Arabidopsis thaliana: one gene and its partners. The protein of the gene in region 3 interacts with the protein of the main gene of each other region in a pairwise test. Each region holds a gene or a part of one and is shown on either strand. Other genes may lie near its edges.

Evidence for each region. Proteins that work in one complex are often made in the same cells at the same time.
Region 1: the proteins of AT2G30020 (region 3) and PYR1 interact in a protein complementation assay, tested with the Arabidopsis thaliana proteins (one large-scale study listed by BioGRID).
Region 2: the proteins of AT2G30020 (region 3) and AT1G52550 interact in a protein complementation assay, tested with the Arabidopsis thaliana proteins (one large-scale study listed by BioGRID).

The regions. Positions count from the first base shown.
Region 1 is NC_003075.7:9,926,781-9,930,745, reverse strand, and holds PYR1 (Polyketide cyclase/dehydrase and lipid transport superfamily protein), read right to left. Parts: upstream 2,160-3,965; 5' UTR 1,955-2,159; coding exon 1,379-1,954; 3' UTR 871-1,378; downstream 1-870. UniProt on the Arabidopsis thaliana protein: Receptor for abscisic acid (ABA) required for ABA-mediated responses such as stomatal closure and germination inhibition. Inhibits the activity of group-A protein phosphatases type 2C (PP2Cs) when activated by ABA. Can be activated by both (-)-ABA and (+)-ABA.
Region 2 is NC_003070.9:19,571,885-19,575,735, forward strand, and holds AT1G52550 (uncharacterized protein), read right to left. Parts: upstream 2,176-3,851; 5' UTR 2,116-2,175; coding exon 1,872-2,115; intron 1,453-1,871; coding exon 1,301-1,452; 3' UTR 871-1,300; downstream 1-870. Other genes in the region: AT1G52560 (HSP20-like chaperones superfamily protein), read right to left, coding at 2,899-3,317, 3,603-3,851.
Region 3 is NC_003071.7:12,812,535-12,817,310, forward strand, and holds AT2G30020 (Protein phosphatase 2C family protein), read left to right. Parts: upstream 1-1,736; 5' UTR 1,737-1,902; coding exon 1,903-2,406; intron 2,407-2,683; coding exon 2,684-3,370; 3' UTR 3,371-3,826; downstream 3,827-4,776. UniProt on the Arabidopsis thaliana protein: Protein phosphatase that negatively regulates defense respones. Inactivates MPK4 and MPK6 MAP kinases involved in stress and defense signaling.

The DNA.
Region 1 (3,965 bases), on a different chromosome or scaffold from region 3:
AAATATTATTCAGATTTAGATCTCGTTGTCGTAACTAAAAAAATGAAAGAAAGATTTGACGTTAACGATGATAATGATTAAAGTAGGTGAGGATGCTCAAAATATCGATCTTCTAATTGGCTCAACCATCCATCATCAACTTCAAGACTTCAAGTACATGCAATTAGTAGTATTCCTTCATTTTCCACTTTTTGCGCAAATATAATACTACTAATTTTTCAATCTACCTTTGTGTCGGCGTTTAATAACCAAGTTGGCAACTTGCAACATTTAACCAAGCTGGCACAACTTGCACCAACATCATCATCACCTTTGCCTTAATTAGAAGATCTTCGTCTTAAGTTTGCAAATAGGAAATTAAAAATAGTACTATACAAAATATAAAAGTGGCCTTTCGCTATTGTCTCGATCCAGCTGAAATTCGATAATAAAATATACAAATTGTTATAGTATCATATAATGGATTCCCCACATCAAATTTTGTAACAATAAATTATATAAAACATGATGGTGATATATTCAAGTCAAGTGGGACACTAGCCTGACTATAGTGCAAAAGGTAACCCGAATCTGAATGAAAAACGGCACACACTTTTAAAACCATCTTCGTTAAAACTTAAAACACTTCCACTTATGGTTTTTTTAGTCTTCTCTATCTCTTCCTTCACAATTTGTTTTATCGTTTTACCACTCTTAAAAAAGTTGTTGTTTGGTTAATAAATCGGGAGTTCATGTGTTACAAAGTTTTTTTTTTTTTTGGCAACCGATATGTTACAAAGTTTGTTCATGGGAAAAAAAACTAAAGTTTTGTTCATGGACATTATGTAAAAGTAATCGATAAAAAAGCGAAATCTATGAAAAGTAATTACAATTTCATACGAATCACACACTAAATCTACCATACTTAAAGCAATAACAGCAAAAAACACGTGAAAAAAATCTTATCCCCATGTTTTTTTAACAAAAGGAAAAGAAAAGGAAAACCTTTCTTTTTTTTTACATTCAAAGAAAAGTAAAACCTTACACGAATGGTTATTTACTTTTTTTTTTTTTGTGTCAAATAAACCTTTGGTAACTTTATAGTAAGTTTTTTTGTAACTTTTTATGAGAGTTTGTTGCATAGCCGAAAATTTTGACTTACTCGCCGGAATATACCTAACGAAAATGGAAAGATTCATAGTTATCCACAAACATAAAATGCCCAAAATAACCTTGCACGTCATTCTCATCATAAGAAAATGGTAAAAATATGACTATATGAGGTTAAAAAAGCAAAAACAGACAAAAGAAGAAGAGAATCTTATACGAAGCAACATAAATAACATTTCTGGATTTTGTTTTTAATAAAAGAAATTAAATCATATTTTTTTCTTCATTTTCACGTCACCTGAGAACCACTTCCGTCACCGGAGTTACGAGCCATAGCTTCAGCAACCGTCGCGAGTTTCTGCAAATTAAGCTTCACAACCGTATCAGCAAACATACGAGTATCATCCTCCGAGTTACCTTCCGGCATATCAACGACGTAAGATTCCAAAACCACCGTCCAGATCCGATTCTCTTTCTCGAACCGATGCACCGTCGTAACGGATTTGTAATTCGTCAGCCTATGTTCGCCTCCGATGATACTGAATCCGGTAACTCTCCGTTCGTCGTCGAGTATATCGAGTCTTTCCGTTGATGTGTTCGCCGGTAATCCACTGATGACGATCACGTCGCGCGTGCATCCGACGCGCATCTCGAAGTTTTGTTCGACGGAGCAGGATTTGATGAAGTGTTTGTATGTTTGTGGTTTGTCGAATCGTCGTACGATTGACCAGACGAGTTCCGGAGGCGCGTGGATTCGTTGCGCGTGGAGTGATGAACAGCTTCCTGGATCGAGTTGGTATGTGTGGAACTCGGCGATTGAGTTTTTTAGTTCCGATCGTTCTTCTGGTGTTAACTCCGAAGGCATGGTTGTAATTTGGATCTTTTTTTTTTTTTTGTGAAGTTTTTTTTGTTTTGTTTTATTTATCCAATTGGTTTGAGATTCACCATTGAAGACGACGACGAGCTTTTAGACTCTCTCTCTCTTTATTTAGCGTTGAAATCTCTCTGTGTTGGATTTTAGAGGGAAGATGAAGGGTAAACATGGAATTATATTAAATAGTAAGGGTAAAGTAAGAAATATATATACGTGAGAGTGGAAGGGTGTATAATGCAAAAAATGGAATCTGTTTATATTTAAAGAAAGATGACCTGGAGTTTCTGTTATAAACTATTGGATTTGTTACTTATTCAAGAGAATAAGTCTTATTTTCGTATAAGTTTCTTTTTTTTTAAAGAGTGTGGTGATTTTATTTTATTGTTTAAGAACTCATATTCGTAGGTTTTATTTGGTGAAAAAAATGAAATCTTAGAGATGAAAATTGTTTGTAGTTTTTTATTTTGTCATTTGAAATTATCAAAAACAATTTCATATTTTTATAAGTTTTGTTTATATGTTTCTTTAGTCGTTGAAAACAAATATACTCACGTTTCATTAATTCTTTTAGATATCATTTTGGTTGGGTATTATATTTAGTGACAAATCTAATGAATCTTTGACAAATCTACAATTTGCAACAATAAAATTATTTTTCTTTAACAATAAAATAAAAAGATTTTTTTATAACTAAAAATAAATATATATGCAAAGGAGTTGTGATTATTAAAAAAATAAATTAAGTGTCGTTAGCTCAATTGGTAAAGATTTTAGGCGAACCTTAGAGGTCGCCAGTTCGAGTGACGCTTGAGACGAAACTAATATTACATTATGTGGTTTCGGGTCTAGAGGGATTACGGACTTCGGTCCAGAACCTCCTGTTATTCAAAAATAAAATTAAAAAAATAAAAAAGAGAAATATATTATATTTAATAAACATTAAATAAATAACATTTTAAGAGGAGTTTTTAAAAAGATGATATAAAGATCAACTTTTTTGGACTTGATTCACACTTGTTCTTAAAAAAAAGTTGTAGGGAGAAAATTTTGGGAGAGAAACGGTGGAAGAGGACATCCGAGAGAGACCTTATTATACAGTACAAGATTTACTAGGAACAAACAAGTGGAGAGGAATCTTTTAGCAAGGTGGTAGGGAAGAGACTTCAAAGAGAAAACTCGCAGAGAAAATGCTCCGAGAACAGATTGATAAGAAAAAGGCATGAACAAGTTTGACAAGGAAGAGCCCTTCATAAGGATGCCATTTTAATTTTGAAGTTAAAAGTAGTAAAATTATTTTTAATATATTTATTACGCAAACACCTTGTTATTGAGTTTATAAGCACTTGTTGATTACTGAAAGAATCAAAGAATTGGTAACAAATTTACATGATATATACATTATGTAGGGAAGACAAGAAAGATTTCGAGTTTGAACTCAACAAATGGGTGGGGGCTGGAGCGCAAGCTGTGTTTAGTAAAAGTAGAGAATGATTAGTTTAGTCAAGCTTGCGTTTGGCTTAATCATAAAGAAAAGAATGTGACTAACTAACGATATCCAATCCACTTGGTCTATAAGTATATGTATACTAACAATTTTGTCGGAAATTGAGCTTAAACATTGTGTGAGACTTGTTGCGGGTATGGTGGGTCGTCGGAAAGGGAGCGGAGATGTGAACCGAATACTTCCGTCGATGGTTCCGGTTCAGTGCCACTGCCGCAACGCCGTAGGTCATGTATTTGCTGGTATTATTGCTTCGAATCATTGCTAGTGGTCTTCAACAAGATCTGATCCTCCCATTTGGTGAAGGCTTCATTTTTTGTTTTTATCTCCTTTTTGGAATTGTTTGCCATGTGTAGGAGCCCAATGCTTTGCCCATTTCTTGGGAGACCCATTGATGAATTTTAATTAAAAAAATTCTATGCTGTTTCATGTTATAAAAATATATTAGTATGCAGTTTTATTTTTTATTAACAAAAAAAATAAAAGGTAAAATATTAATAT
Region 2 (3,851 bases), on a different chromosome or scaffold from region 3:
CTTTGAACAAACCCAGAAACAAAACAAAAAAATCTCTCAAATTCAGCTCCTTTAGCTCTACACGCTTCCTCGTTGATGCAGAGAGAGTAAAGGTAACGCCTTTTTCCTGAAGAATGTAACAGCAAAGCAAGAAAAACGAAACTCCTTTGATGCTTAATGAGAGAGAGAGTCGCTTTTACTTCTGTAAGAAGAGAAACAAATTTTCTTAGAATATTCTTCAATGCTTAACCCCTTTTTGAATGTGGTTGTGTGTGTTTAGCTGTTTTAATTTGAAAAAAATTATACACTTTATTAAACTATTAGTGGGAATGATTGTGCATATCCACACATAGTCACATATAGTATTTATATAGTAATAATTTCATCAAAAGGTATTGTTTTTTGAATTTCAAAGATTTCCTTTTCATGGCCTGTTGATGACACATGACAACTAATCAAAGTTTCCTAATCACACACCTCACCTTGGTGAATCTGTACTTACAAAATCTTGCAATTTTTAATACATACAAAAGTTCAAATACTAGTTTTTTTTATTGTGTATGAAGAAGATCTCTAGATATGGAAATTTATTTGCTATAATCAGAACAAATATAAATTAAACATAGCATAAAATCTTAATTTAGATAGATTGTTAAATTACTCAGTGTGGTCAGAACAAAATGTTAGGCTCTTATCATAAATTTCTGTTTCTAAACTTACTACCAGCCTTTAACCAAAACAGGTCCAACTAATCATGAGCTGGTTAATTCATTGTCCCAGTATTGAATAAGGTTTACCTAAATCCAGTTATTTCTTTTTTCATATCATGAATAAACAACCACTGTTTTAAATATAAATCAAATAATAATTAAATACAACTTTGGAAATATTATATTATATAGAGAGGCCCAATAAAAGAGTATGTTGAAGCCCAAACAAGTTATATAACATATCTAAAGGCCCATTTTATACAACAAACATTCAAATCAAAGAAACGGTGCGGTTTACCGTTTGGCTGAATCAAGCACACACCAAACACATCTAGTCATTTACAATCTGAAACAGCTTTCAATAAACAATGATATTGATTTGGCATTTTGACTTAAATGCAAACTACTTTAGTTTCATCACAGTAGAGTAATCTCTATAGCTCTAAGCTAGAGATATCGTAAGAAGAGAACAATCTAGTTTCTAGTATAAAACTGTAGTCTGACAAGAAATTTGCTTTACTTGGAAGAATATTTCCTCTGTATATATACACAAACGTGTAGAGGAGTTTTCATCAATCATCATCATCATCACCACACCAATCTAACTAATACTATTTGAAGCGTGAACCCTTCTTCCCTTTACCATTACCTTTGCTGCCTCTTCCTTGTAAAGCCGAAGCCCAAAAGAAGAGAGAGATCCAAATTAGTACTGAAAGAAAGATCTTTACACGGTCTTGAATCATCGACGCTACTCCCACAAGACCTACACAAAATGTGATACCAAACAACAACTATGAATCCAAATTGTTAAGAAGATTGCTCTCGTATTGCAACCAATGACTAAACCTGTAGGGAAAAGAAAATGGTGGAACTTTTGGAAGACATTCACAAGTTGTAAAAGGAGGAGATTTATAAATCCTTAATGCTTAACAAGAGTAAAAGTCTATAAATTGTCACAAAGATCAAAACTTTAGCAATGAACAGTAATCGATCTTGAGGACTAAGATTAACATCTTTATCTACGAATCAATAGCAGTTAAACCACCTTCATTCTCCTAATTCGAATTCCGTAATGCAATTTCATCGAATTAGGAAAGATTGAAAAATAGAATTGGCAGTAAACAAAATCAGAACTCAGAGTTGAAACATTGAAGTTTTAAGGGTAAGAAGGGAAAGACGAACTTGTGAGCTCAGTCGTGTTTTTAGGCGGAGGTGGGTCGGGACTAGGCGGCGTTGGAGGGCCGAGAGGAGCGACCGCGATGCGTCGTACAGGTTTTGGAGTGGGGACGAGGAAAAGGGTCTGAGAAGGAAGTGGAGACGACCGGAACGGTGAAAAGAACGACGGAGATGGAAGAGGATGGTTTTTACGGCAGCGATGGAGGTAAAGGTTGGAGCTTGAAGTCGTGTTGGCAAACGCCGTCGCCATTTTCTTCACAAGGTATTTTGGACCTTGTTTTGTTTTCTCATTATTTTAATTTTAATTTATGTATACATTATCAAAAAAATGTTTTTGGTTTTTTCCTTCTTAATACCAAACTAAAAGAAGGAAAATGAAATATTTTCTATAATTTTCCACAAACTATTGAAATATCATGCATTTTTGTTTAACATAAATATTGTGTTTTCTTGACGACAAAAAAAAAAAATATTGTGTTTTCTTTAAAGAAACTGAACTCTGACAATACACTAAAATACTGTACTTATTAATAAATAAATAATTTAATGTATAACATAACTTGTCTATAAAGAAAAATATTTCATAGTATAGTATAGCAAATCCACAATTATTAATACAAAATTTACAAATAAAATTTTGATATGAGGTACAAAAATGGACTTCTTGTTTAATATATCAACATTTTTGTGTTCATGACGTGAATTAGCAATTTACTCCATTGAGCCATTCGCATAGAAAACATAAAAGGGACACAACATTTGCTGCTTCTTTTAATTAATTTTGGCTTCTTTCTTTTGCGAAAATTAACTATGCTGAATAACAATTTATTCCATTCTCATTACAAACACAAAACTGGTTCATTCTTTGCTTGTTCAATTAGTCTATAATGTATTTTCTAGCTTCTTTTGTTTGCGCAAATGAACTAAGTTAATTAGCAACTTAATAACTGATTCCATTCGCATAAACATAAAAAAGGTACAACATTAATTTGCTTAGTCCATCAAAGAACACAAAAACGACACCGTATCTCTTCTACTCAACAGAAATCTCCTGAACATTCTTCTTTGGCTTCTCCGTCCTAGGAATCACAAGATTAAGCACACCATTCTTGAGCTCCGCCTTAATGTCCTCAACCTTAGCATCATCAGGCAACGATAAGCTCGTGTTGTAGTAACCATAACTCTTTGAAGACCAGTACTCGTCTTCCTCAGGTGAGCCTTTCTCTTCCTCCGCCTTGTGATCTCCTTTAATCGTCAAGATTCCATCATTTACCGTGATCTTCACGTCTTCTTTGGTTAGCCCTGGAACCTCGTATCTGAGCTTGTAACAGTCGTCTTGCTCTTTCACTTGACCCATTAGTTGGAATGGATTCACGTTGAAGTTGTCGAAAATTCTGTTCATATTCTCTGTTGCTTGTATCAGAGTATTTCCTATAGTCGGAGGAAAGAACTCTGTTTTAAGAAGAAGAAAAAATTCAATTCAAGCAAAAATAGAGGTTTACATTAATTATGTTTCATGAGATTTAATGCAATGAAAATGTAAATTTAAAATTTGATGTATTTTTATGATTCTAGAATTTCAAATTTTCTTCTTAATTTTTCTTTTATGGGATATATTTTACACTTAAATGTTGAATTTTTTTTATATAATTTATTTCGAAAATATTATTATTGTGACACTATTGAAATTTTCTGCTAAATAGGTATATCAATAATGAACTAAAATGACAAACGTACCATTTAGGGTGGGAGTGAAGTAGCCATGATCGTCGGTGTTACGCCAGAGGCTTTTTCGGCCACGTCTCCGGGGGAAATTCTGTCGAGGAGATTTCTTCTCAGACACACTCACTTCTGTGTTCATCTTATCCTCTTGTTCACCAGCCGAAGTAGCCATGAATCTGTTTAGCTTCATTGGATTATGTCGATTTCCGACCAAACCTCTTTCACAAGATTGACCCATCAAACTAGGAGACAGTTTTTGTTGAA
Region 3 (4,776 bases):
ACTTTGGTTTCTTTACAAACCACGGTTAATCGAATCTCCTGTTATATGGACATGGTATATAGAATGAATATGAATCAGTAAAAGGTTTTCTGAATGGATATATTTAAATGGACTCGTTATTATGGACACCAAAAAATTGTTTGTTGATTTTTCTTACAATTTGCAGAGACCCCACCTCCAATACCTTATGGACATAGAACTTTTACCAAATTCCTGAGATAATCGAGATCAAATTGTTTAAGAAACTTCTCCAAAAGTTATGGAGACGTGGAGAGAGAGAGAGAGAGGCGCTACAAATCATGGAGAGAGAGAGAGAGAGATTTTATTTATTTTGGGTAAGGATCGTGGAAGAGGAATAACAAAAAAGAGAAATTAAGAATTAAAAACATAAATATTGAATTGAGGGTAAAAAAGTCTTTAAAAAAAAAGAATTAATAGAAAAAGTGTCTATTTCCTATAAACTGCCTCAAACGGAAAAACATTCTCTAAAAGTGCTTAATAGTGGAACATTAATCGCATGACAATATAATAAGACGTAAAATTTTTGGTCTTATCATATGCAAATACTTATTAATAAGGAAATTTTGGTCTTATAATATTGCAAAAACTGATTTTTCTTTGTTTACTATTCATCCCTATCACAATTCACAACATTAACAAAAACTTTCTAATGGATTTTTCTTCAACTCTAGAACATTGCAATTCCTTTTCAACTCTAGAATATCAAATACCGTTTAAAAGACAAAACTATCAGTTAATGATGTCACAAATTACTCAAAAAATTAACACTCTCTTAATAAGAAGAAGACTTGTATTTTAATAATAAGAAGACCTCGTGTGAAACGAGATCAATTACAACTTTATGTATTAGACTTTTTGACAAATTCACAACGGTCATCAAATGGAAACAAACAAAACGAAGGCTCCTCTTCAGGCTCTCAACGGTCACTTGCTTAGAAGCTGCGACTACGACAAGCAAAAATACTCATCCAATGAAAACGACGACGTATAGAACCTAACGGTCGTTTTAAATTCTTTAAGATTCTATTTTTCATTTAATTTAAAAAGGAGAAGAAAAAAAAAGTGAGTCATCAATGAAACACTTCTTTAACACAGATACGTTACCCACATGCCCAATTATTAGCATTCGTTTCCTTTTAGACGTGTTTTTGACTTCATTTGAAATGTCTGTTTTAACCTCACAGAGCAAACCCAATAAATCGCTTACTTCATCGTTTTAGCTATTTTAGACTGTGAATGACCGTTTTACCCTCCAACATTCTCTTTTGTACTATCTGCTGTGTTTTATTGAATTTTATTCTACGTTACAAAGGGCCTTTCTTCTTATTTGCAATACTCCTCTTTTTGTTTATGATAGTTCTAGTCTACTAGACATAATTTGTTTTTATTATTAAATTGACATAAAGTTACCAAAAATTGAATGATTCTTATTTTGGTTATGAAAAAATATTGGAATAAAAAATCTCATGGATATATACATTTTTCATTATTAAGAAAAAATGATATTTTCCTTTATTTTGCCAACAAAAAAAAACTGGTCAACAAGAGTAGGATTCAAGCTAATTTTGTTTTCCTCAAAATAATATCCATTTTGTAGAAAGTAAAAGGACAACATAAATAAAGGAAATGAAAGTTGTAAGGGCATAAATGTTATTTACAAAGTCAAAGAGACTGAAAAACTTTGAATAAAGCTCGATAAACACGGACTCTAATTCATTCAATATTCATTACCTTCTTCTTTCCTTTATATTTAAAAACCTTCTTCTTCTCTCTCTGTACATCGTCACAACAAAAAAAAAACAGAAGGAGAAGAAACAAAAACAATAATCTCAGCAAAAACAAATCTCTACTCATCGAAATCGAAATCAAAATATAGAAACGATGTCTTGCTCCGTCGCCGTATGTAATTCTCCGGTGTTTTCACCGTCGTCTTCTCTATTCTGCAACAAATCTTCGATTCTCTCGTCACCGCAAGAATCTCTTTCTCTAACGCTTTCTCATCGCAAACCTCAGACCTCTTCTCCTTCCTCTCCATCCACCACCGTTTCTTCTCCTAAATCTCCATTTCGTCTCCGTTTCCAGAAACCTCCGTCCGGATTCGCTCCTGGTCCATTATCTTTTGGATCTGAATCTGTTTCTGCATCCTCTCCTCCGGGAGGTGTTTTAAAGAGGAAACGACCTACAAGGCTTGATATACCGATTGGTGTTGCTGGATTTGTAGCTCCGATTTCTTCATCGGCCGCTGTGGCTGCGACGCCGAGAGAGGAGTGTAGAGAGGTTGAGAGAGAAGGTGATGGTTATTCTGTTTATTGTAAGAGAGGAAGAAGAGAAGCTATGGAGGATCGTTTCTCTGCTATCACCAATCTTCATGGAGATCGTAAACAGGTAATTTTAAATTTCAAATTCATTTTTCAGTTTTGGTTTAGAATTGAATTGAATTGGTGATTTTGATTCGATTGATTAGCAATTACAGCTCAAATTAGGGTTTATCATGTGAGATCTACATTGATTGGGTTAATAAGCTATCTAAAATTAGGGTTCTTTGGGGAAAATTGAAATTCTGAATAGAATTAGAAGTTTTACAGAATCATATGAAACAATTGTGTGCTTATTGATGAATCGTGTATTCTAAACGTTGTTTTGCTTTGTGATAATTTCTCAGGCGATTTTCGGAGTCTATGATGGTCATGGAGGAGTTAAAGCGGCTGAGTTTGCAGCTAAGAACTTAGATAAGAACATTGTAGAAGAAGTAGTTGGTAAGAGAGACGAGTCTGAGATAGCTGAAGCGGTGAAACATGGTTACTTGGCAACAGACGCGTCGTTTCTTAAGGAGGAAGACGTTAAGGGTGGTTCATGCTGTGTCACGGCTCTGGTTAACGAAGGGAACCTTGTTGTGTCTAACGCCGGTGACTGTCGTGCTGTTATGAGTGTAGGAGGTGTAGCTAAGGCTTTATCTTCTGATCACCGCCCGTCTAGAGACGATGAACGGAAAAGAATTGAAACCACGGGAGGATATGTTGATACGTTTCACGGTGTTTGGAGAATCCAGGGATCTTTAGCTGTGTCAAGAGGAATTGGAGATGCTCAACTTAAGAAATGGGTTATAGCTGAACCAGAGACAAAGATTTCGAGAATCGAGCATGACCATGAGTTTTTGATCTTGGCATCTGATGGTTTATGGGATAAAGTGAGTAACCAAGAAGCAGTAGACATTGCTCGTCCTCTCTGCTTAGGAACCGAGAAGCCATTGTTGTTAGCTGCCTGTAAGAAGCTTGTCGATTTATCTGCTTCACGAGGCTCGTCTGATGATATCAGTGTGATGTTGATCCCTTTACGCCAGTTCATATAGAAAAGAGAGGCATCTTAGAAGATTTTAGATATATGATAAACGTTAGAAATTTGGAGGTTTTATATGATTTAGTTCTTTTGTTTAACTTGATCCATTCATTTATTTATTCTTTCTAACTTAGTGAACAAAGCTAAACTCATTGTGGCTTATGATTACTTGTATGATTCGAGCATTGGCCGAAATTAATCTAATAATCGGTTCGTTATATATCTTGTCATATGTTTCAAGATCCTGCAAATTTCTCTACAGTACAATACCAACACAGTGCTTGGAAGAGATTGACTCAATCTGAATCAAAGATTCCTTGTTTTGATGAATTTCAATTCACAACTCCAACATACATGAAGTTCATATTGAGATGCAACGTGAAAGAAATCGACATGACAAGTGATCCTGGTCAAAGAGTCACACGGCCAATATTGTTTTAAAGTGGAACGAAGGTACAAGAGAAGTTGATCGAGAAAACAAGTTCAACCATAAAGAGAGTTTTCTTAGGAAAAAGGAGAAAAACAAACAAAGTCCTCAAGTTTGACAGGCTAACATAAACCATTGGGCCGGACACAAACCCGAATAGCCCAAAATATATTATTTGTTCACATGTGTAGTTTAATTAGTTTTGGTCTTGGATCTCAAATTCTCAATCTGTTTTCATGCAAACGTAAGATATGTTTTTATTTTGTCTACTAGTTAAAATCTCGTTAAATCTATTCATTTTCGTGTTTTTCACATTCAGTCTGGTTAGACATTGAGACCAATACAAACCACTTAGAATTTTGGCTGTGGTTGACATATATATCCTAACAATGTTGTTAATTGTGACAATGTTGACATGGATTAAGAACCATAATTTTCGATGAATTACATATTAACAAGAGTGAAATGATGTGCAAATTAAATTGAACATATACATTTTATGTACATATAAGAAACAAGCAAAAACAAATATGTGCGGTGATAATGATTACCGACATGGATAAGCCGATAAAAGGATAAGAAAAATAAAACAAAAGATTGAGTTTGTGAAAAGAGGAAGAAGACAATGGTCAAAGAAAGAACGTAAAAACAACACGTGAATTACAAACACATGTTTTTGTGTTGTAGGCGGAGAACACGTTGTTGTTTTTTGTCTTCCAATGGACCCCAAAAACGGCACGTTGTTCGGCTTTTTCTCTTTTGTTCTTGTTTTTGTTTCTCCAACTCTAATTTCTTTTCTTCTCGTATTTAACTTTACCAAACCAAATCTCCGGAAAATTAGCATTTCAGTCCCACACACATCATGTGTTCTACCGATTCAGTGTAACTAAACTTAATGTAACATAAGTTGTGTTAGTTCACTTAATTTAGCTTCCATCTATCAGTTTCATTTATTTCACTGTTTTTTTTTTCAAAAACAAATTTATGAATGA